6 linked regions of the Rattus norvegicus genome follow. The main gene of each other region encodes a partner of the protein of the gene in region 3 in a complex. Links are inferred from orthologs where the notes say so. Each region holds a gene or a part of one and is shown on either strand. Other genes may lie near its edges. The genes, in order: Rbm15b, Mettl14, Zc3h13, Wtap, Cbll1 and Rbm15.

Region 1 (4,209 bases), on a different chromosome or scaffold from region 3:
TTGTGACACAGACAGCTGGAAGGCCAGGTGGGCTAGGCGGCGTCTCTTACTATGACTATCACCATGTGTTCTTCCTCTAACTTGCCCAATGTCCGAAGTGCTGACTGGAGGTACTGCTGTGAGAAGTCGCAGGGCGGGAAGGCATAGAGCATGCCAGTGCTGTCTCTGCCCTTAGACCCACCCACCGGCAAGCTGATCACCCCTGCAGCCTGCTTCTGTTTTAAGTAGGAGACCAGGTTCCTGAGAAGCCGCCTCTGCAGGCCTGGCTCCACCATGGGCATCCCCTCAGCGCCAGGCCCGCTGGGGGTTGACTGGATGGCTAGGAGCACAGCATAGCCGTTAGGGCTCCCCTGCTTGATGCGACGGGTGACCTCATCCAGTTTGGGCTGATCCAGGCGAAGACGCTGGGCAATCTTTAGTTGGGTCAGCTTGCTGCCAGAAGTGTGGTCTTTGAGGAGACCACTGATAACCCCCTGGTCCCCCTCAAGGATGTGCATAGAAGTCGGAAAGCAGCTGTTTTTCAGCACTAGGAGCCCATTCCAACCCAGCTGCAGTGTCTGTGCATACTCTGACAGAGTCTTTAGCTTTTTGGTCTCATGTTTTGGCTCTTCAAGAGTCTTGGGCTCTGCCTCAGTGGTCCGATGATTGCGTTCACTCTCTCTAGTCTTTTTCCCATGGGAAGAGTCTGGAGCCTCGTGGTGGTGGTGATGGTGGCTCCTTTCCTCAGCACTATGTCTGCTGTTGCTGAGGGAGTTGCTGCCTGACTCCTTGGTCCCTTCACTGGAGTGGTTCTCCTTTCGGCTACGCTCAGGGGTGCGGTCCGAGCCTCGCTCAGACTGCTGCCCCCCACCCTTGGTCCTGCTCCGTTCCTCATAAGGGGAGTGAGTTGTCCTCCCGCGGTCACTGGAAAGGCTCCTCCGCTTTCGTCTCTCTTCCCAGGGCTTGGCTATGCTCCGGTCCCCATCTGCCCCCCAGCGCTCACCACTCCGGCTTCGCACTGAGCGGCTATAGCCCTCCAGGCTGTTTCTGCGGTCTGAACTTTTACTAAGGCTGGTCCAGTCCCCTTCCAAAAAGGTCCGGTCTCGATCTGAATACAGAAGGTGCGGAGGGGTCCTGTCCCGCACCCTAAGGTCAGCATCCAAGTTTCGATGCCGGGTATATCCATCAGTGAGCAGCTCATAATGCACAGGGAGAGGTGAGGGCTGGTACTGCTGGGGATATCGAGTCTCCTCTGCTTTGGCAAAATCCACCCGGAGCCTGCGATCTGGACCACCCAAGGGAAAGCCCCTCATTTTAGCACAGGCAGCTTGGGCTGCATCCAGGCTCTCGTACTGGATGTAGGCAAAGCTGTCTCCTTTGACGTGATCGATGGTCCGAATGCTCCCAAAGCGATCGAATTCTCTGGCCAGGGCCGCCAGCGAGGTGTTAGGTCCAAGACCACCCACCCAGAGGCGGGTGGTAGGGTTAGCCTTGCCGTAGCCTATCTTTATAGGGTTTCTGCCAATCACCCGGCCAGACATAGCCACCTTGGCCCTGTGTGCCATGTCCAGGTTCTGAAACTTAAGGAAGGCATAGGCACCACCTTGGCCGCGGGCAGGCCTCTTGATGACCACCTCCTCAATGATGCCATACTTCTCGAAGGCCCGTCGAAGCTCCACTTCAGATACACTGTGGTCCAGGTTCCCGATGAAGAGATTTCGAGTGGCTCTCTGATCATCCTCCGGCATCAGGTCCTCCTCGCACACGGCCTGGTAGCTGTACGGGCGCCCGCGGTCGTCGTACAGCCCGTAATAGTCCAGGGCTCGCTCCCGAGACAGTCCCACGGCAGCCGCGGCAGCAGCATCCAGGGCGAAGGCTGCCGCGGCGTGCCGCGCACGGGGCTCCCGCAGGGGCGGGGCGGCTACCGGAGACAGAGAGCGCTGCTTGTACTGGTAGCCCCCGTGCAGGGGCAGATAGCCCAGAGGGTCCGCGGGCGTGGGAGGCCCTGGGGGCGGCGTGGAGGCAGCGGCGCTGCTGCTGCTACTGCGCCGACTGCTCCCGCCGCCGCGCAGGTACACGGGCTCTACCTTGAGCGGGCGGTCGTAGAGCAGCAGCTGACGGGCCAAGGCGTGCTGGCGGGCCTCACGCGCGTCCTGTGGGTGCCGGAAGTTCACATAGGCCACGCGGCCCAGCTCCGGTGTGTGTGACAGGCGCAGGCTGATCTCACCGAACCGCTTGAACTGGTGGAAGAGCCGGTCCTCCAAGTGCTCGGCCGGCAGCGCGGGGCTCAGGCTGCTGATGAGGAGCGTCTTGTACTCCGGAGCCGCCGTGGTACCGGGACCCGCAGGTTCCGCCCCGGGGGGCGGCGGGGGCGGCGGGAGTGGAGATGCGCGGGGCGACGCGCCCCCAGCACCCGGGTCCCCGGAGGCCTTGCCGGTGCGTCCTCCGCCTCCGGGCGCGCCTGAGGAGCGCCCGCTGCTTGCTCGGTGATTCGCATCCCCAGCAGCGCGCCCGTCGCGATGTCCGCCGCCTCCGCCACTGCCGCGGGGCTTGTCACGAGCCCGCGCTGGAACCGGGTGCTTGGTGCCGCCGGAGGCCTTGTGCGCTGCTCGCCGCCCGCCCGCCTCTGCCTCCCGTTCGCGCTCCCGCGGCCGCTTGGCGGACGATGACGAGCCACGCCCGCTCGGGCTGGAGTCTCGCTCGTTCTGCCGCTTCATTGCGCCGGCTTGGCGGGCGGGCGGCCCGCGGGTCCCTCAGAGCGGCAGCGGCGGCAGCCCAGGAGGCAGCGCCCCCGGCGCCGCCATCTTGGACAAAAGGACTCGGCGCGGCGGCAGCGGCGGGGCGGGGCGGGAGCGGCGCCGAGGGGCTGGGAGCTGCGTTATCAAGCTGCGCCGGCCGTACCACGTGACCGAGGTGGGCGGGACGAGAGTTTCGCTCGCCGCCTATCACCGGGCTCCGCGGGCCTGTACCACGTGACATCTTGGCAAACAGAGGAGCCCGCCTGACTGCGAGCTCTGGCGCCGCTGCGTGGTTGGTAGGCACCGGGCTACCGTGTTGGGCGCGGATTCCCTCTGGAGCCTAGCAGGCCCCAGCTGCACTCTGGCTCTGTGCTCTAGGGCTTCCTACACCAGGTCCGCCTACCTTTGGCGGACTCGGGACCCCGCCCACTGGAGCAGGTGTGGCTGCTTGGCCGGAAGCCAAGGGTTGTATCCCACTCAAACCTGCCACTAGGTGAAGAAATTCTATTCCCTTCCATGGAGTTTTCTGACTGGGACCAGAAGTGGCATCCTTGAAGGTAGACACACAAGTATCCCTACACCCTGTCCAGGACCCACATCCAGGCCATCTTGTGCATTCAGATTCTTCCGGCACTGTCCTGACAAGACTCTGAAAACGAAGACTATCCACACAGGTGAGACCTCCCTAGGTCCAGGTACATAAACTAGAAAGAATGCGTTTGCAACCCACAGACAGGCATCTTGGTGCCACTGGGTCCAAATTTCTGCTGTAGGTAGGTGTCTGGGCAGACAGGAGACTGGAAAGGTGGGGTGGCAGAACCAAGGGTAAAGCACAGGTAATGGCGTTAGTTATCACTTCTTGCCATGTTGACATCTTGCTGGCCAGTGTCTTGGCCACATCCAGGAGGTGAGGTGAAGTACCGGCAGGGGCACCCAAAGGCTGCTAGGGCTTATGTTCTCCACAGATGGTTGCGGATCCATTGATGTATCTGTAGAATGATGAAGAAGGCACCCAGCCTTCCCTCCTCCCATAAGCAGAAAAGCAATCAGCAGGAGAAAAGTGCAGGAGGAACTTGGAAGAAACAGCCGAGGGCTTCATGGCAGAAAGTAAGGCCCCGTTGATACAAAGTGAACTGGGGACCACAGGAGAGCTAAGACGCGCTCTTTGGAAAAATGTAACTTCTTAGCAGTCACTCCTTTCACATGATCTTTCGAGGCAGCAGGAGCAAAGTGTCCTTACTGAGGCACAGGTCACAAATGCCAGCAAGGGAACAACTGAAAACCGTGCTGCACAACTCTCCAGGCCCTCTGGGACAAGTTCACACTGCTCCATAAACTGACTCCTGCTAGACTCGCCAGAATCCAGGAAAGCCAGGGGCCCTGTCTGATGCCAGACTGGAACCCCAATGAATTAATAACAAGTACCAGGCAGAGTAAAGAAATGCTAGTTCTGACCACCTGCACTCAGTGCAGACAATTCTGCTTGTTCTGC
Region 2 (3,374 bases), on a different chromosome or scaffold from region 3:
AGTTTTATCTTATCAAACCGAGAAGGCAGAGAATGCCCATACACTCTCTGCCTCCCCCCATCCTCGGTAGTTCTCATAACTACAAAAGTCCATAATTTATATTAGGATTGATATTGCTGGTGTCTATGGATTTAAATGAGTTGGTTATGGTGTATGCCTACCATTGTAATGTTACAGTGAGAACGTTTTCTGCCTTCTGCTCCACTTAGTTTTTAACACCATAATTATCCGAATATTTGGGAGCATTGTGAGGTTTGTGTGTGTGTAGTAAGGTCGGGGCACTTGCCATACGTATCGCCTCACTTCTTTGTACTGGGAAATTATGCTGTTCTGAAGTGTTCAGTTGTTCCCTTAGCTAAGCTATGCATTGCTATGTCCTGGATTCCTCACTGTACGGTCTGTGGGCTTTTTCCCCTCACTCTTCCCTGGCCTTCATAACCTCCGCTCTAGTCTCTGCATCTTCCAGATGCACGGTTTGTTTCCACCTGTAAATGAGAATATGTGGTATGTGTTCTTTGCCTGATTTACTTCAGTTAGCATAATGCCCTCCAGTCCCATTCTAGCAATGGGATACATGGCATTCAGTTTACCCATTCCTCCATCAGTGGACACACACCTAGGTCACTGCTGTGTGAGCCGTACCACAGGCTGGTTTTAGTTCCTTTAGGTGTGTACCCGGAGTAGGGGCTCTGGCTGCTGTGGCGCCTCTCCTAGTTCTTTGAGAAACCTTCATAACGTGTTCCATAATAACTACTGTAATCCACCTCCCTCTCAGTAGCGTGTGGGAGTTCCACTTCCTGCAGCCTCCCCAGCCATACCGGTCCTTTCCCCTTTGATCACAGCTGTTCTGACTGAGGGGAGTTCTGACCGCAGCGAGATGATACCTCACTGTGCTTTTGTTTGCTTAGTTATCAGTAGTGGTGTACATTTTTTTCACAGACTTGGCTATGTGTGTATCTCCTTGTGAGAAAACTCATTGCCTGTGGAAAGACGGCATGAGAAGGGGCAGCATGGCTGTTTGGATCCTAGACCTGAGAAATGAGGACATTTTGTATAAAAGAAAAGCACATTTTCCTTCGTCAAGACTTAATGAGAAAACCAGTAGCCTCATTTTCATAAGTAGGAAAGATATATGTATATATTTTCTCAAATTTTTACCCAGCCCAAACATTTGTGTATTGAAATATCTTTTATAAGTGGTATTCTAACAACATAATAGATAAGGAACGGTTTGGATGACATGTAACATAAGAATGAGAAACAAGGTGTGTGTATACAAAACTTTTACAATATGGGTGACCGTTGGTGTGGTACACTGTATACTAGAGGTGTGGCTGTGTGTGTAACAGCCATCTTTGAGAATGTGTTAAGGACTTAGCTCCTAAAGGACCAACAAAAGAGCAAGGAGATGGAAATGTTTTCTGTTTCCCCCCTTGTTTCAGGCTGGCTCACAGTTGGACCAACGCTTACAAATAGTAACTACAATGCAGAAACCTACGCGTCCTACTTCAGTGCCCCCAATTCATACTTGACTGGATGTACCGAGGAAATTGAGAGGCTTAGACCGAAGTCACCTCCTCCCAAATCCAAGTCTGACCGTGGTGGTGGAGCTCCCAGAGGTGGAGGGAGAGGGGGAACATCTGCTGGCCGTGGTCGTGAACGAAATCGATCCAATTTCCGAGGAGAAAGAGGTGGCTTTAGGGGGGGTCGTGGAGGGACACACAGAGGTGGCTTTACACCTCGGTAGCTGTTACAAACGCTTAACAGTGTCCCCTCTGATCTTTTTTGTGAAGACTTGCTTCAGAACTCACTCCCAGCTTGCACTTTGCTTTAGTTTCTCATGCTGCCAGAAAGACCTTAGCCACCCACCCCCACCCCTAGGTCCTTGCAGTTGTCACAGACTGTGGTTCTGCTCAGGGTAAGTCACATGTGTGCAACACTCAGTCATGGGCTTGACTGATTTCACTCAAGGCTTTGGCTTCTTGGAAATAGGAGCGCAGTGGAGCACCTCTCAGAGGAGGATGGCAGGAATGGTGCTCTTTCCTTGTCGTGGCTGCCGCAGCCGCAGTAGGAGACTGGGAACCTGGGCAGAGCAGAACTGAGAGAGGCGGTCACCCTTTTTGGGGCCTTTAATGTTTTCTTGTTAAAACACTAAAAAGATGTAGTTCCCCCCCCCCCTTTTAAATTCTAAAAAATAACATGAAGTATCATTTGAGTACTGAAGACTCAGAGATGAAATGAAGTCACTTTCTTCCAGATCTGAATCTGACGGGGCTGGAGCCCTCAGGGAAGGTAATGGAAGAGGCAGAGCTTCCTAGATTTAAAACAAAAGCAAAACAAAAACCAAAGTTATCATAATGTAAATAACAGCTGCAGATGACATATAATCATGCTTCTTAAGAAGCAAGAGGAGGCAGGCACGTGTCAGGTCGGAGGGCTGTGTGTGATCTTGAACTTGGACTGACCTTCTAAGACAATTCATATTTCTTAGCAAAGGTAAAAACAGATTTGCTGGGGGGAGGGATGGTTCAAACAATCTAGAAAATAAACGCTTGATGATGAGGAAATGACATACATCTTTAAAGTTGTTATTGAACAAAATTTAGGTAAAAGCAATTATAGAAACCCTAAGGATACAGCTTGAGAGATGGGGTTGCAGTTGCCTTTGATTAGAGCTGTGTGGTGCAGATGTCTCTGCAGGGCTGATGTTCGGATCTCTTGGCTGTGGAAAGCTTCATACTGTTGTTTTTCTACACCTTAAGTCATGTTTGAATGGATTTGGCTATGCCAGATGAGATAATATCATTATTGTTCATGGTAACTCCTTTTTTTATTTTGCTATACTTTTCTAATAAAAAGTTTAAACCTTTGAAATGAGTTTGTTTTCCTTAAATGCAGTTACTATTGTTACCAAATGAAAAGGGACCAACCTAAAGTGACATCTGAGTTCCACTTGTCAGATATGGTCTCATGGACAGCCACGGAAATACAGTTGGAAGGCCTTACACTTTAAATGCTTGATGAGTTTGGCTCTCACAGGTGGTTAGAATATTTGCTGTGGTGGTGTTTTTAATTTCAGTAATTATAAATTATCCAAAGGCAGGGCTGTGTGTCAGATTTGACCTGTAAGGAGGGGATAGGAACTCCCATTTGTTCAGTCTGACTAAGGAATATCCCTTCCCCGCACATCAGATTCTTGTGTTCCCATTCTGAGCATAAAAGACAGCAACAATCTGGTGCGAAGCAAGATTTGCGGCTTCATAACATTCATAAGAAACTAACATTTCTTCAGCAGAAGACTCATTTCCTGGATGATCATATTGCTGCTGCTCCCAAACCCTCCATCACGTACTCAGATAGGAACATTGCTGGTT
Region 3 (2,960 bases):
ACAGAGTTCACTTTATTTATTCTTAATTTGATTTCCCAACATTGTGTAGGATCTTTACGACTGTCTACATGAGAGGGGATGAACGGCAGTTTTCTCAATGCTGGACTGTGACATAAGCTAGGAAGGAGCCCTGCTGCTTTCTTTCTGGAAACACTGTGTAGAATCAGTATTTGTTTTGTTATTATCCTGGCTTTTTCTTTTCTTGTAATATATAGCAGACTTGTAAGCATGCATGTCCAGGAGTAGTACTGAAGTAGATATAAAGCTACTTAAGTCTTCTATTCTTACACAGATTTCGTAGTTTGAGGACTCAGTCTATTCACTGCTACTAAACTGAACGTTAAACTCAACCTTTGTCTTTTCTTCTTCTGTTTTGGTGCTCAGTGCTGAGGACTGAACCCAGAGCCGTGAGCTTGCCAGACAATCCCTTCATCATGGAGCCACACCCAGGCCCCTACTATCCTCCTATCCCTATGGCATTCATAATGTCATTGAAATTTTTCTTCTCGTTACTGCTCATCAACGTCTTCTTAGTTTAGCTGGGAGACGACTAATTTCTTTAAAAAACCAAACATACAAACAAACAAAAAAGCCCAGCTTTTGGTTTTACTATGAATTTTTTAATGTCCTTCTATCTCCATTTTTTTTAATCTGCTATTATATCCTTCCTTTTATTTGCTGTGTTACTCTAATATTATAATGCTAAAATGATTTTAAAATTCATTTACAATAGCTATGTGTTTTCTTAATTTTTCCTAAGGTGCTTTATATGTAAATACTTCAAAGTAATTTTCCCATAAAGTTACAATGTCAAATATGTAATTAATGGTTTTCCCACTTTTTGTCCCTGGAGGAGAATCCAGCACTGCTCTCTTCTTCTCTTTTATAGTGACACAAAGCTCAATCTCAGTGTTCTCACGGGGCTTTGGAGCATTTAAACTGCTTTCAGTTCTGTCCCTTTCTCAGCTTGTGCTATGTTTATAACCTCGGCTGGTCTCAAGCTCAAGACCCTCCTACCTCCCCTCAGCAGAGTTCGCAAGCTACACAACAGAGTTCACCAGGTCCAGCTACTGCCAACGTCTTTAACACTGAGAAATCGGAACACTCACAATTCTTTCTGCGGATGGATCAATTAAGACATTTATAATGAGTCATTAAACGTCACAATGTGTAATATGGTCCATTAATTATCTGTACTCTGAATTACAAGGTACAAGGTTCTAAACAATTCTCTTTGAGACTTTTCAGGGCTTTTTAGTTGCTACTGTATTTGAGGGACACAACAGTGTATTAGGGAGGAACCAACAAGAACTATAAAATATATTTTACACAAAGTGGGCAGTATCCTGAAGATACTGGCACTCCTTATTAGAATCAGCCATAACAGGATGCAAGTGTAATATAAGACGGAAATAATAATAGAATGGTGGTGACTGCTATCAGTGCCCAACTACAAAGAGGACTGACTACATACGTGCTTAGGAGAGAAATGCTGAGTTTAGAAAGGCTGCCAGGAGAGACGGTGCCCAGGCAGAAGAATGAGAGATATTAAGGACATGCGAAACAGAAATAGCAAAGGAGAATGATGACTGTTCTTCAAAAGCCATTTTTAATCAGGACTTTATGTGGGGAAGATAGACAGATGAGAAAGACAGACAAGGAAGAGGGGGAAGAGAAGGAGAAGACAGTGAGATGAGACAGATAGAGAGGGAAGGAGGGAATAAAGGAGGGGGAGACAAACAGGGAGAGGGAGAAAGAACCTACAGAAGCCAGAAGAGGGTGCTGGATCCCCTGGAGCTGGAGTTATAGGTGGCTATGAGCCACCTGACAGGGTGCTGGGAACTGAACCGCAGCCCTCTGGGAAAGCAGTGAATGCTCTTAACCGCTGAGCCGCTCTCTAGCCACATAGACTTGACTTTCTAAAAAGTCTCCCATTCCTCCTGTGTTCATTTTAATCTTTAGAGAGGGTTCATATCATTTTTTTTTATAAATTTAATCTCCTCAAATCTATTTTTCTTTATAGCAATATTATAGAAAGATAATCAATGTTTTCTTATTGACTCCTGTAAAATCTCAGTCAGTGCTTTTCTAACTTTACCAGACCAAGTTTCTTCTGTCATACTGCCCATGTCGGCCACATTCACCTACAGTCCCAGTTTCTAACTTTAAAAAGCCTAAGACTCTTTCATCAGATCCTTCTCATATCTAAAGAAACTCCTCTTTCTGACTTCAAACCACCTTTGTTACTCTGCAGTAAATACTATACACAGACTGATCTGTCTGCTTACATTAAGGAGCTCTGCTCACATGCAAACATTTCACGAATGAATAGACTTTCTGTGCATGAAGTTTGGAATGACAATTACCACTCAACAAGCACCATGTGGGTTCTTCCTTTAGGTGCCTGGGGACTAGGAAAGCAAAGTCACAAGCAGTTAAAATGGAACATACTATTCCTACCAACCACTGCGTGGTACCTTTTCGTTCTTCACAAGCTGCTTCCGGATTGCAGAATCCCGTCTGAAACATAATGCTTTACAACATGGTCCCAGGTCACTAAGGAGACTCGCCCGCTCTTCTTTTCGAAGTAAAGCAGCCATGTTGAGAGCCCCTAGTTCATGTTCAAAAAGGCTGTCTGCATCTTTCAATCAAAACAAGCATACATTAAGTTTCCCTTAAAGGTAAGTGTCACCACTGACTTAACTGAATACTTCAAGACCTCCTCATTTACTAAACCTTAGTGAATGACTTGTCAAAGCTAGCAGCAATAGTTCCCCATAAAAGGATCTTCAACACATAGGTACCTTGTTCATCTTAGTAAGAACAATAGTGTGATGTTGTTTTAGATTTAAAATGTGCCAAAAGCAGTCTTCAGAGGGAGAATAAGGCCATTGACTACTGACTTTGGAGAAAGGTGAAGCAAGAGCATTTAAGTCAAACTCAGTGTGTGGCCTAGCAGT
Region 4 (4,263 bases), on a different chromosome or scaffold from region 3:
CATTTGTTTATTATATATAAGTACACTGGGGCTGTCTTCAGACACACCAGAAGAGGGCATCAGAGCCCATTACAGATGGCTGTGAGCCACCATGTGGTTGCTGGGAATTGAACTCAGGACCTCTGGAAGAGCATCCAGTGCTCTTAACGCTGAGCCATCTCTCCAGCCCTGTATCTTATTTTCTTTTACACTAGAAATCTTTGGAGAAAGTAACATTGAAATGTTTGTACTACAATAAACATAACTTCAAAACCACAGCAACAATGTTATAATTACAAATCACTTAGTGAAACTGAGTGATTCTTAGGTATCCACAGGCACAGTGCCAGAGTGTGAAACTCAAAACACTGTAGCTATATATATTCTTTGTCTATGTCTCAGTTCCACTGCCAAACTGCTTAAGAGTCAATTGGTTCGTTTCAATTTACTTGACTTTGAAGGGTTTTTACCTTTTGTCTTCATAAATTTTGAACTCAGAGAAGCCTTGCTTCTACCTTTATCTCCTATAGCCATTACCACTTTTTGAGTAAGTATTAAGTTTCTGCAATATCCTTCTGTCTTCCCAGTATGTGCCTACATATATGTGTATATGTATTTCTACACATTGCTTTATTCACTCAGCCCAGTAGTAATTCCAAAGTAACACATTAACTATTAATGACTGCATCCCTACCAGGATACAGGATTTCAATGTGTATTTCCATTATAAACAAAGTTGATCCTCCTCCTACGATATATTTAAGGACATCTTCTCTGTGAATCATCTGTTCATGTCTTTTCCCATTTTCTTTAGTTTTCCAAGACCTTTTTTTCTCTTAGCCTAAGTGGAACACCATGGCTCCTCTGGTCATCTGGTCTCTACTGTAATTGTGTACTTATAAGTGATCTCAGCCAGGACACCTTCGCTGGGGATTAACTGCTCTCATAAAACCGACTAAACCTAAATATGACTGTCCCATCTGGGAAGTGCTGAAGAGACTGCAGACTAACGCCGTTCTTGCTGTAATCCAGGCGACTGTCTTACTGGAGTGATTTCTCGGACTCCAGAATCCTCACTCTGCTGCCTTCTCCGGGATTCTGGTGTGCGATCTGCCCTGGAACGTCCCACAGGCGCAGCTTCCTTGCACCTCAACTTAAGCCCAGAGACGCCACAAGGAGCAAAGCCGGCGGCCGCAGGGAAAGCGGCGGCTTCTAAGGCCCCCAAACTTAGGACGAGGGGCGCTTAGGCGTGAAGCTGCTGTCTCCGCGTTCCGGCAGCGCGAGCGGAAGCATCCTGTGCTATGCGGCCTGCAGCGAAGAGCCAATCACGCGCTCGTCGGCTCGGATTCCTCCGCCCAGGCCGTGCTGCAGCCGCAGGTGGCCCCGCCGAGCGTGTCCGGCAGCGGCCGCCGTCCCGTGATGCCTCGCGGGTGACCTCTGACCTCGCGGGCCCGCCCTTCTCTCCGGCCGCTTCCCTCCCCATCCCGGCTAAGCTTGCAGAGCCCCCACGGGGCAGGTGCGAACCTCCGCGGACGGTCTCGGTGCGGCTGCGGAGAGCCGCTTGCCCCTCCGCGCCCCGAGACCCCGAGCGGGCCGGCCTCGCCTCGTCTCTTCTGGCCGGAGGCACCGGGCACGGTGACCGAGGCGGCGCCCGAGAGGCGCGTCTCGGGTGAGTGGGCCACGGGCGGGGTATCGGCGGCGCACTCGGGGCGGGGCGCACTCGAGGCGGGGCGGGGCCGACGGCGGGGCCTGGTTTCCTCCCTCAGCGCCATTTTGTGGCTGCGAGACCCGCAAATAAAGGCTATCTCCGGGGCTGCGGCGGGAGGAGTGCGGGGGGGGGCCGGCGGCGGCGCGGCCTCGGCCTGTGTGACTGGCGGCGCCCGCGCAGCCTCGGGCTGGGAAGGTAGGTGCGGCCCGCGGCGGGAATGGCCACGAGGGCCTGCAGGGACGGGAAGCGAGGCGCGGCCGCCCTGGACCCGGCGAAACGCACTCCAGGCCCGAAGGGCGACCGGGCTTGCGGCCGCGCTGGCTTCCCGTTAGTCAGAGCGGTTTGCTGCTCGTGGGGATACTTGCACCGTTTCACAGCCATTCTGCTCCCGTTCCTGACGGCAGGGGACAAGGCGGGCGTTCCCGCGACTGGGGAGGCGGGGAGGCCGGAGGCCGCCCTCTCGGGGCTGACTGGCCATGCCTGTCCTTTCCCCGCCTCTGTCGCCCCCTCCCACCTTCCAGGGTTCGTCACCCGGGACCTAGAGGTACCGATAGTTCTGTATGACCCAAGTGATGCATTCGGTTCTTTAAAAAAAAAAAAAAAGGAATTTCACGTCACGCAGTAGCTTGTCATTGCAGCCACGTTCTCATGTGGACTTCCATTTTTACATAAGTATGCATTGTGAGAGTAGTTAATTTTTTTGACAGCTTCCTGAAATTTTTCGTGAACTTTTAGTCTAGTTTTGGATCTCTGTAAGGCTGATTTGACTATATTTAAACTTGATTTTCATAAGACAGTGCACAGTGAGAAAAGACCTAAGTTTTTCTGTTTGTGTACATATTTTCTTATTGGGGAGGGCGGGGGCGGCTAGGGATGGAACGCTAGGCCTTGTGCATGCATGTTATTAGGCCAGCATTCTGCCATTCATCTAATCCCCGAGCCCACAGTTCTTGGTTTGATAATGAGGAAGTCAGTTAATTTGACCCCAAAGGACTAAGACACTGCACACTGGTTGTAAGGATCGGTGAGCATGTTATAGTCGTAAATTGTATTTATGCCTTTTTTGTCGTTCTCACTATAGCCTCGCTTTTTTCATTTAGTTAATTTTATTATTTGGAAAGATAAGTGGAAGTCACAAATCAGTTACTACAAATTCTATTTGTTTTTCACTTTAACTTATTTATTTGAGCATCGGAGCTGGAGAGTTGGCCCAGGAGTTAAGAGTACTTTTTGCTCGTCCAGCACCCAATTGATGGCTCGTGGCCATCCTTAACTCATGTTCCTGGGAATTTTGACTTCCCTCTTCTGACCTCTGTGGGTGGCACCAGGCATGCACGTGATGCACATACATACATGCAAAACATTTACAAAAAATTTTTAAAAGTACTTAATTTTAAAACCATGCACCAGGTTTTCTCATAGGTAAATATGTAGGCATCTGAAACTATTAAAAACAGACATTTTTTGAGGTGGCTAGGTTTCATTCATTCAGCAACTATTGCTCAGGCAAGTTGGGGAAAGTTGCAGTCTACAGGATGGCTTCTGATGTGTTGGAACTGAATTTTAAGGATTTGGGCAGATGTGTTTCTGAGGGTGCTTTAGTTCTTCATTCTTAAACAGATGAGTGTGTTTGAACACTACTTAAATTATGGTTTGTAATAGCCATTTGATGTATTTGGACAGAGCATTACCATTTTCAAGGTCCCTCCTGTCTTTTTGTGTATATAATGTAGACTCTTGAAAATATTGTTAGCCGCCTAGATAATTGGTGTAAGGTGTAGTTAAATTTATCATGCTCTTTAGAAGTTTTACTTGATATGCATTCTTGTTTTTATCTCCCACTTTCTTCCTCTAAATACTTCCTATTTCTTTTCATTAAGCTTGGGAAGTTTTTTTTTTTCCAGTATTCCCATCATTGAATAAGCTATTGGTGTTAGGTGTTAGGCATTTCCATCAGACAAGATTCAGTGTTCTTTGCTTTAAAGATGAAGTTGGTAGAGTTTATTTCCTGTGTTGATTGTGTTCAGGCAGTCCTTGTTTGTATAGTGTTTTTATGGTACCAATAACAGACCTGCAGTACTTTGTGCCCTAAGCAACACTGATGTGGAAACTGAAGCCCAAAGAATTAAGTGACTTGATCACATAAACAGGAGACTGAAATAGTGTTCTGATTTCTAACAAGTCCCCTTACTCCTGCAGTGCTGAGGCTCCAGCACTGCCAGACGATGCCATTTCTTAACATCCACTGTGATTTATTTCAGCGAGCCATATACATGCCTTCTTGCATAACTTACCTTGGCGTGTGGTTGCCTTTCTCCAGAGAGTACTAAGTTGCCTAACTTAGGATCATAGTGTTATGATCTGGGATGGTAGGCACTTAGTCAACTAAAGCAGTTCCACAGCCTAAGCTAGGCTTTAAGAGTGGATGGCATTCTAAACTGAGATGAATTCTCTGAACTGTCTACACAAATAAGTTTAAAGTTATAGGTGTTTTGTCGTACGTCTGGAGTTAGAATTGTTATGAGCTACAGTGTGGCTGCTGGTAATCGAATCCAGGTCCTCTGAAGGAGCAGTCA
Region 5 (3,992 bases), on a different chromosome or scaffold from region 3:
AATCTTCAAGACTCCACTAAAATGGAATGTCTTTCATGTATTTCAGCAGTCTCCACTGCATTTGCTCACCCATATAGAAATACCTACATAGATCTATACAGATCTATGACAGATACTTTTTTCCCCTTGCACAAAATGTATTCTCAACTTTCCAAAGAACTGAAATAGCCAACATGATGCTCTTCAGGTATCACAAGGATTCTTAGTGTGTTACTTCTGTGAATGAAAACAACACACTTTACCTGCCCAGCCTTTGAACCAGCCCACATAACACAGTTCTCCATTATTTAAACAGTAGCCTGGCCCTTTCACGAGCCTGTTTCTAAAGCTACTGTTTGTCTCACAGATTTAAGTGACAAAAATCTGAAGTTTGTGTGGGGACACCCATACATAGAAACAAAACAACAAAACACAAAGCATGTAATAATTATCTGGATAAGGGATAACAAGAATAGTTTAAAGCAAATATACCTTTATTATATAGTTTTAAAAACAACACATTTAATATTTTATCTTGAATAAAAGGAGCCAAGGAACTGAAGGCAGGTATGCAGCTCACTGATAGAACCTGTCTAAGGTACTGAAGGAAGGTTCTGGGTTCAGGTCGGTCCCCAGCGTCCATCTCTCCAAAAAGCATGAAGCAGTCTTTTACAAAAATTGGGCTACTTTTACCTAAGCACTGATTATCTCTGACAATGACCAAAGAATGAATCAAGTGTTTGCAGGATCTTTATTGGCCTGGGTGCCTCTGAGATGTAGGATCATGGGGACAGAGCTGGCCTGAAGAGCTGCAGGGACATCACCTTTTTTGCTGCTTCTTTCCACCCCAGAGGGCCCTCAGCTCACTGCTAACACTTCTGCAATCCAGAGAAACACTAATGTCTTTGCCATTTAAAAATATTCTGAAAACTTTCTGGCAAAATTCTACTCCAATACTTCCATTTAAAAGACCTCTTGATCCTTTGACATTAAAATCATTATTTTGAGATGTCTACTCAGTCAGAAAACTGTCAACTAACTAGCTGCCATTTCTTGATTTAGTCTTTGACTTAATTTGATTTTTTTTCTTCTCAAAATGTGCAGCAATTGAAACTGAAGCACTAGGAGACTGTGTTGTAACTGATTTAAAATCTAGAAAAGCTACCATTAAACAGAAAGGAGAGCTGTCTGGAAACTTTTTTTTTAACCTAGCTAGCTCAGTAGTGATTGTTTTCGTGTTAGAATGACTGTTCTTATCTCTCCAGGCAACCTTTGGCTAATAACTTAGAAACTAGGATAATTCTTTTACACAGTTCTAGCGGGATCTCATTTCTCTCACATACTTCCATAAACCCATGAGCAGCTGCTGGATCGCCACCAAAATATTTGTGGCAATTGCCTACTCTCTCAGTCCTGCTCCTACTTCCCCTACAGCGTTGCTGGGGACCTGCTAGGTAAGTTGCTCTACCACTGAGTTTTGCTTTAACTGGGTCTCCCTCTACGGTAATGCAACCACCACATAGATTATTTATTTACCCCCGTTCTTCCTCTCCACCATTCTATATAGAAGAATAGGAATTATTTTTTAAAATATTATACTCCCTTTTGTTCAGCTGCTTTGTAGCCGCTCAAACTCTTTATCGTGATTTTCAAAGTCTTGAAAAAGGTAACTTGTATTTTCCTTCTCAACTTAGGACTAACTAAGCTACGGACATTTGGTCTTCTCTATATCTTCCTACCATTCCAAAGTGGGGGGGGGGGGCCCTTTTCCTGGTACTCTCTGAAATTTCTTACTCCATAAGCACCTGTTTCTTAAAGTACTCACCACAATCTATAAGGAGCTTTTAAAAAAGAAACCAACCTGTCTGCCTCCTTTGACAGAATGCAAACTCGAAGACAAGGACGTAGTCCTATTGTTTACTATCCCATCATTCTATCTCCAAGCCTACAAGTATCTGCATGCAATTACATAACTAAGTGGTGTTTGAAGACTGCGCGCATCTCAGTCAATTCCTAAAGAAAAAGCCTTTCCTCCTGCTTGGCGATATAACTGTCTGAAGCACTCAAAGCCAAGCGCTAAAACTAAAACCAAGAAAACGAAGCCAGCAGAAACGAGGTTTGAAGCTACTCGCAATATAAGATGAAAATATCTTGATCTTAAAAATTCTGTATATATCCCCAAAAGATGCGAAAGAACCACGGCCGAAGGGCGGGGCATGCTTTGAGTTCAGGTAGAAAAAAGATGCTCCACTTATAAGTTCGAAAACTATATCCGCCTTTATTCTCTAACTACCAGTCCGCGAAAAGCCAACAAGACAATAACCACAGGAGATGACCACTACAGCAGCCGCCCGAAGCTGAGAAGCAGCAGGAAGTCTCCAACCCACTCTCGCCCACAGTCCGGACGCTTCTCCAATTCCGAGAGTGGAAAACACCCGCCTATTTCCCCAGCACAAAGTGCAAAGCAACCGGAATGAGAAAAACAAAAACAAAAACACAACAAAACTGGGGCCGTCCCTTTCCAAGAAGCCTGCGCTGCGAAGGGTTCCGAAACGAGCTCAGCGGCACCAAAGAAGCGGTGCTGCCGGTCTCGAGGATGGAGGCACCGCTCCGAGGGTAGGCCGGGAAGCAGCAGGCCCAGTCCGGGACCGGGCCTGAGCTTGCTTCCTCTCCGCCACGTCCCGGCGCACTGGGGCGAGCGTAGCCTCTTGTGCCTGCTGGGCGACCAGTCCCACACGAGCCACGGGGGCAAGAAACTAGGACCCCCGCTGCCTCCGCCTCCTTACCAGTGTGATCCATGATTCGGCTCGCAGGGTACAGTGGGAGCGGAAGTGAGTCGCTCCGGAGTCGCAGCAAGCGCGTGCGCCCTACCTTCCGGAGCGCAGAGGCGGAAGTGCGCTGGGACTGCTCTCACTGGCTTCCCTTCCTAACCGCACCATCCGACTTTGGTGAGGGAGTCACACATAGGCAGGACTGAGGCAGGAAGAGAGGGGACACGAGGGCTCTGGTGCCGAGACTTCTAATTCTCCCCAGAGGCTGCCCTCAGCTGTAGGAAGGATATCTATTGCAGTGGGAGAGCAATAGGAACCAGAGGGAAGCGAGGCAGGCAGGTAAGCCGCCGCCCACCCCCTGCGGCGCGAGGCCTTCTGGGATTTGTAGTCCACCCAGAGTGCAGTCTCAGCCGTTAGGCTGGTCCCACCCCACCGGGCGGAGTAACGGTTTGGAATGCCCCCCGGATCCGCCGCTGGGTATAGAGAAGTGTAAACACGCGCGCTCCGTTCTTGCCCGAGGGAAGCTGAGTTAGGTGCTGGGAGGGAGGAAAGGTTCTTATTGCCTAATCAGGCTTTGTCCTGATGAGCCCCAACGCCCACTCGACACGCGCGTTCGCCCTGGCTCTTACCGTAGTTTCTCAAACTGAAATGCGTGTATAATGCTGACTAGCCCCTCGCTCTAGAGAACACCAGGCGCCTCTAATCCCTGCAAAAGCTGTAGGGAGTTCCAGGTTGTCCCGGTCCATCGAGGATGCAAGGCAGTTGTGTGCAGAGAAGGTGAAGGAGGGAGGATAGGAACCGATGGAGTCGGAGGGAAAGCGTTAGGGCTTGGGCAGAGGGAAGAAATGAGAAAGGGCAGGCCCCGACTGAGGAAAAGAGAGTTACCAAAACAGGCGGTACCTAGTTCCAGTTCTTGGTCCCTGGGGTCTGTGGTTGCTGCTTTCATCTTGCTCAGCCAAAACAAAAGCAAGTGTCAACGGCGATTGGTGAGGACCTTCAGAGCACCCCCCACCTAGATTTGGCTCATAATAGGTCTTCTCCCCTCTCCAGCCCTTCACACTTGAAGCTCTCAGATGAGTAGAAAGGAGCACAATTAGTGGAAAACATCAGCCTAGGAGTCAAGGGATTTGGGCTCTATGGTCGTCCCTTGGTGACGACATTGTTACCTTGGGTTGTTCACGCTTTCAGTGCCAGAGTTCCTAGATCAATAAAACATTATTATATTGGCCTCTTTTAAAAAAA
Region 6 (3,970 bases), on a different chromosome or scaffold from region 3:
AGGCAGCCTTCGCTTCCTTGGCTGGTCCCTGCTGCTAGGCAAATCCCGGTCACCTCTGTCCCTGTCCAGTGACCAGCCATCCCTCCTTCGATCCAAGCTATCCAGTGGCTCATAAGCAGTGACGGCACTAGTTGCAGCCCGAGCACTGCGTTCCCGAACCGGTGGCGGGGGTGGCACCCAATCAGAATCGGGATAAAGGTCCCTATCACGATCTCTGTATAGTAAGGGTGGTGTCCGGTCCCGAGCACTCCTCAAAGGGTCAGGTGCTCGATGTCCAAAAGTATCTGTCACTAGTTCATAATGGGTTAAGGGCAGAGGCTGAAGATACTGCTGCTGGTAACGATGTTCTGTGTCTGCAAAGTCTACCCTAAGGCGACGATCTGGGCCACCAAGTGGGAATCCACGCATATGGGTCCAGGCAGCATGAGCTGCATCCAAGCTTTCATACTGTATATATGCCCAACTGTCACCTTTTCGGTAGTCTATGGTTCGAATGGTGCCAAATCGATCAAATTCTCGTGCCAGGGCAGCAAGAGGCACCCAAGGTCCCAGACCACCCACCCAAAGTCGGGTAGTGGGTGTGGCTTTCCCATAACCAATCTTGATTGGATTCCGAATTATAATTTTGCCAGACATTGCTATTTTGGCCCTGTGAGACATGTCTAGGTTCTCAAATTTGAGAAAGCCGTAAGTACTGGTCTGGCCACGAGAAGGCCTCTTAATGTCCACTTCTGTGATGACTCCAAAACGATCAAAAGCCCTTCTCAGATCATTTTCTGTCACAGTGATATCTAAGTTGCCCAAGAAAAGTGTCCGGTTGGCACGCTGATCATCCTCAGGTGATATCTCATCCACTTCTCGGAATGGAGCAGCACCTGCTCCAGCTCCCACCCTCGGCTCAAGACTATATGCTGGCCGCACTCTGTCATAGAACGGATAGTCTCGTTCTCTTTCCAGCTCTCGGGGCAATGGTGGCGGGGGTGGAGGAGGCAGGCGGCCAAGAGCCAACTGCTGCAACCGGTAGTCTCTGTATCCCAAAGCAGCACCGCCAGGAGAAAGCGATCTCTGACCTCCACCTCCTCCAGGGGCGTGCCTGTGGCTACCTACAGAGCTTCCGACCACGCTGGACGACGGGGCGTAAGTATCTTTGTCTAACGGGGAGCGGCTGCGGCGCCGGCTCACATACACGGCTTCTATCTTCAGAGGCCGGTCATAGAGCACCAGGCGGCCTCTGGCATGCTTGGCCGCCCTCGCGTCCTCTGGCCTCCGGAAGTTCACAAAGGCTACCCGCTCATCCCCGCTGCCAGAACCTGAGAGATGACTGATTTTGACACTTACATCACCGAAGCGTTTGAACTCGTGAAACAGTCCGTCCTCCACCGCTTCGTCACTCAGCTGGGACCCCAATTCGCTTATCTTCAGGGTCTTGTACTCCACGCCGTCCCCGCCGCCAGGCGCTGAGGAGGCGGCCCCAGAGGAACGTGACTCCCCGCCTCCACCCCGGGAGCTGCTGCGCGACTCGCCCCCGCCTGAGGAATTTTTGGTGCTTGGGGAGCTGTAACTATGCAAGCGGCTACTGGAGCTGCCCCCACCGGTATCATACTCGCGGCTGCCGCCTCGGCTGCTGGACTTGTCCAGATGAAGGCTCCGCCGCGACCCGCCGCTGTCCGTCTTCCCGCTGCTGCTCCCATTGCTGCCGCCAGAGCCCCCTAACTTCTTGCTCCGTTCCCCACGAGAACTGGAGTCCTCACCGCCACGGGAGCGTTTGGGCTTGACTGGCGAGCGCTCCTTTCCTTTCATTGTTGAGGGTCGCCGGAGGTCGTCTCTGCGGAGCTGACTAACCCGCCACCCCGCGCTCGTTTCACACAGCGGACTCGCACGCCGCCATCTTGGACTCCGCCGCGGCAAAGGCTCCCGCCCCGCAGACCTCATTGGTCAATTAATTCACTCTTCAGCTTTCTCATTGGAAAAACTATTTGTCCGTCTTTACATCTCCCCGCGCTCCGGGAAGGCGCCCGCCCCGACGCTGTTATTGGGTTCCCAACGCCCTAATCGCAGTACCTCATTGGTTATATTCGTTGTCTATCTTAACGGTTCCTCGCGCCAGGCTGTAGCTCCGCCCCTCGCACTTCATGGTCACCTGACCCAAAGCCTAGAAGCGTTGATTGGACAAAAAGTCTGCCCTGTAACGGTACTTCTAGCACGGCGAAAGCAGCGATCCCACCTTCTCTTCCCTTTCATTGGTTTATGGCCACGTCCTTTAAATCACTACTTGGGAAGTCTGGACATCAGTTCAGGCGTTTTTCCCTGAGAACTTGGCTCTCTCGGATCTCGCGAGAGACAAAGAGCTCGCTCGCTCACTCGCTCGCTCTCTTTCAACCCCAGTCTTCCAACTTCTCCGGCGGCTGAATAAAGTTTAAATCTGATTGGATGTTGACGAGGAAAATGATTGGATAAAAGCGCTGTCCATCACTCACTTAAAGGAGTAGGCCCATAAACTGAGGAGTCTGAAGGTGAAAGACTCTACCACGCGCTTGCTGTGCGACGTCACTTAGCTGTCGCGAGACGGTGACAGTGAGTCAGGCCCGCCTCCCCGCGCTTTCGGCGTTCTCTTAAACATTTGTTAGGTCCTACGGCGTACTTGCCTGTGCTTCGGTCCTTCGAGTCTGGAACTTGCGGGCTCCGCACTGTCCTGTCTGGGCGGGACAATGGGCTCGGTGGTCCTTCCGGCTGCTGGCCCTCGATCCGCTTAGGCAGCTGTCCCGGGAAGTCCAGCCGACACCATCTTAGTTAGCAGCCTGAAAAAGCCCCACCCCCGTGCGCGAGAAAGCGCCTGCCCCGGTCTGTGCGGCTGGCTGGGGCGGTGAGTTCAGGGTTCACTGAGCCTCGGGTCACGCTGACGCCCTGGGCGGTACCGAGTCACAGCCCGCCCGCGGACATAGGAAACAGAGCGCAGCCCTGGCCGCCTTGGGCCCGGCAGTGACCTACACTCCGGGCTTCCGGGCCTACCGACTGGTCTGACCTGCAGGACCACTTGCAGGCCTTTTTTGCTTCCTGATTTATGTTGTGAAAATGTGTAGGATTTGCATTCATAAAAGATTTGTGAAAGGTAGCTGTGCTTAGCTTTAATATGTAACGCTTCTCACTGTGCGGGTACTACATTTATCTCGTTTCTTGGACCTCAGCACTCCGATTAATCCATATTAGGATCCAGTAACATGGCCACCTTGTCCCCTCCTAGATCCCCCTCCTTTGACTCCTTTAACCCTGATTCAAATCTAAACGTCTCCCCGCCACCAACTTCGGTGACCCCATGCATCTGTAAGGAGTCTCGTAAGCTTGTGTAATACTGGTGATCATAAGATTAGATGGGTAGGGGTTGGGGATTTAGCTCAGTGGTAGAGCGCTTGCCTAGCAAGCGCCAGGCCCTGAGTTCGGTCCCCAGCTCCGAAAAAAAGAAAAAAAAAAAAAAAAGATGGATAGTCTATACCACTGGTGCTTACCTCCTGGTGAGGGGAAATAGGCTTTTTTTTTTTTTTTTTTTTCTTTTTTCGGAGCTGGGGACCGAACCCAGGGCCTGGCGCATGCTAGGCAAGCGCTCTACCACTGAGCTAAATCCCCAACCGCGAAATAGGCTTTTTTGCAGTCTCCCCAAATATGTACCTTGAAGACATTAGAAAGATTCTGGTATTCCCATCTTTTAAGACTGAGTTGAGAATGTGTTTTAAAACAGGACATTTTACAAGGTGATAAGAATGCCCCCCCCAAAAAAAACCCTTAATTCTAAATTTAAAAGCTATTTGAAGACTAGATACAGCAACCTGATTAGCCCTATTTCAGCCGATTTGTTTTGTTAGTATATAATCTTGAAATTGGTGAATACTTGGTCCAAAATCTCTTGATTACATCAAAAAGATTTGAAAGAAGCCTGATAGGTAAATTATAAACCCCAAAATACTATAAAGCATAG

What was found.
Region 1: Zc3h13 (region 3) and Rbm15b share a complex: the UniProt entries of both Homo sapiens proteins name them as parts of the WMM complex. The link is inferred for Rattus norvegicus from reciprocal best matches to the Homo sapiens genes ZC3H13 and RBM15B.
Region 2: Zc3h13 (region 3) and Mettl14 share a complex: the UniProt entries of both Homo sapiens proteins name them as parts of the WMM complex. The link is inferred for Rattus norvegicus from reciprocal best matches to the Homo sapiens genes ZC3H13 and METTL14.
Region 4: the proteins of Zc3h13 (region 3) and Wtap are in contact, whole or in part, in a cryo-EM structure (PDB 7VF2), measured with the Homo sapiens proteins. The link is inferred for Rattus norvegicus from reciprocal best matches to the Homo sapiens genes ZC3H13 and WTAP. Residues at the interface, in NP_001317494.1 of Homo sapiens: Arg1512, Pro1514, Gly1515, Ala1516, Ala1517, Leu1518, Lys1520, Phe1521; in NP_001257460.1 of Homo sapiens: Asp202, Glu203, Asp206, Phe207, Gln210.
Region 5: Zc3h13 (region 3) and Cbll1 share a complex: the UniProt entries of both Homo sapiens proteins name them as parts of the WMM complex. The link is inferred for Rattus norvegicus from reciprocal best matches to the Homo sapiens genes ZC3H13 and CBLL1.
Region 6: Zc3h13 (region 3) and Rbm15 share a complex: the UniProt entries of both Homo sapiens proteins name them as parts of the WMM complex. The link is inferred for Rattus norvegicus from reciprocal best matches to the Homo sapiens genes ZC3H13 and RBM15.

The regions. Positions count from the first base shown.
Region 1 is NC_086026.1:116,422,575-116,426,783, forward strand, and holds the start of Rbm15b (putative RNA-binding protein 15B), read right to left. Parts: upstream 2,801-4,209; 5' UTR 2,697-2,800; coding exon 33-2,696; 3' UTR 1-32. UniProt on the Homo sapiens protein: RNA-binding protein that acts as a key regulator of N6-methyladenosine (m6A) methylation of RNAs, thereby regulating different processes, such as alternative splicing of mRNAs and X chromosome inactivation mediated by Xist RNA.
Region 2 is NC_086020.1:214,214,665-214,218,038, reverse strand, and holds the end of Mettl14 (N6-adenosine-methyltransferase non-catalytic subunit), read left to right. Parts: intron 1-1,442; coding exon 1,443-1,747; 3' UTR 1,748-2,874; downstream 2,875-3,374. UniProt on the Homo sapiens protein: The METTL3-METTL14 heterodimer forms a N6-methyltransferase complex that methylates adenosine residues at the N(6) position of some mRNAs and regulates the circadian clock, differentiation of embryonic stem cells and cortical neurogenesis.
Region 3 is NC_086033.1:57,075,781-57,078,740, reverse strand, and holds part of Zc3h13 (zinc finger CCCH domain-containing protein 13), read right to left. Parts: intron 2,642-2,960; coding exon 2,478-2,641; coding exon of another isoform or gene 2,461-2,477; intron 1-2,460. UniProt on the Homo sapiens protein: Associated component of the WMM complex, a complex that mediates N6-methyladenosine (m6A) methylation of RNAs, a modification that plays a role in the efficiency of mRNA splicing and RNA processing.
Region 4 is NC_086019.1:50,069,510-50,073,772, forward strand, and holds the start of Wtap (pre-mRNA-splicing regulator WTAP), read left to right. Parts: upstream 1-1,463; 5' UTR 1,464-1,648; intron 1,649-1,748; exon of another isoform or gene 1,749-1,882; intron 1,883-1,924; exon of another isoform or gene 1,925-2,231; intron 2,232-4,263. UniProt on the Homo sapiens protein: Associated component of the WMM complex, a complex that mediates N6-methyladenosine (m6A) methylation of RNAs, a modification that plays a role in the efficiency of mRNA splicing and RNA processing.
Region 5 is NC_086024.1:53,809,986-53,813,977, forward strand, and holds the start of Cbll1 (E3 ubiquitin-protein ligase Hakai), read right to left. Parts: upstream 2,801-3,992; 5' UTR 2,779-2,800; coding exon 2,766-2,778; intron 1,978-2,765; exon of another isoform or gene 638-1,977; coding exon of another isoform or gene 472-637; intron 1-471. UniProt on the Homo sapiens protein: E3 ubiquitin-protein ligase that mediates ubiquitination of several tyrosine-phosphorylated Src substrates, including CDH1, CTTN and DOK1. Targets CDH1 for endocytosis and degradation.
Region 6 is NC_086020.1:197,639,898-197,643,867, forward strand, and holds the start of Rbm15 (RNA-binding protein 15), read right to left. Parts: upstream 2,801-3,970; 5' UTR 1,933-2,800; coding exon 1-1,932. UniProt on the Homo sapiens protein: RNA-binding protein that acts as a key regulator of N6-methyladenosine (m6A) methylation of RNAs, thereby regulating different processes, such as hematopoietic cell homeostasis, alternative splicing of mRNAs and X chromosome inactivation mediated by Xist RNA.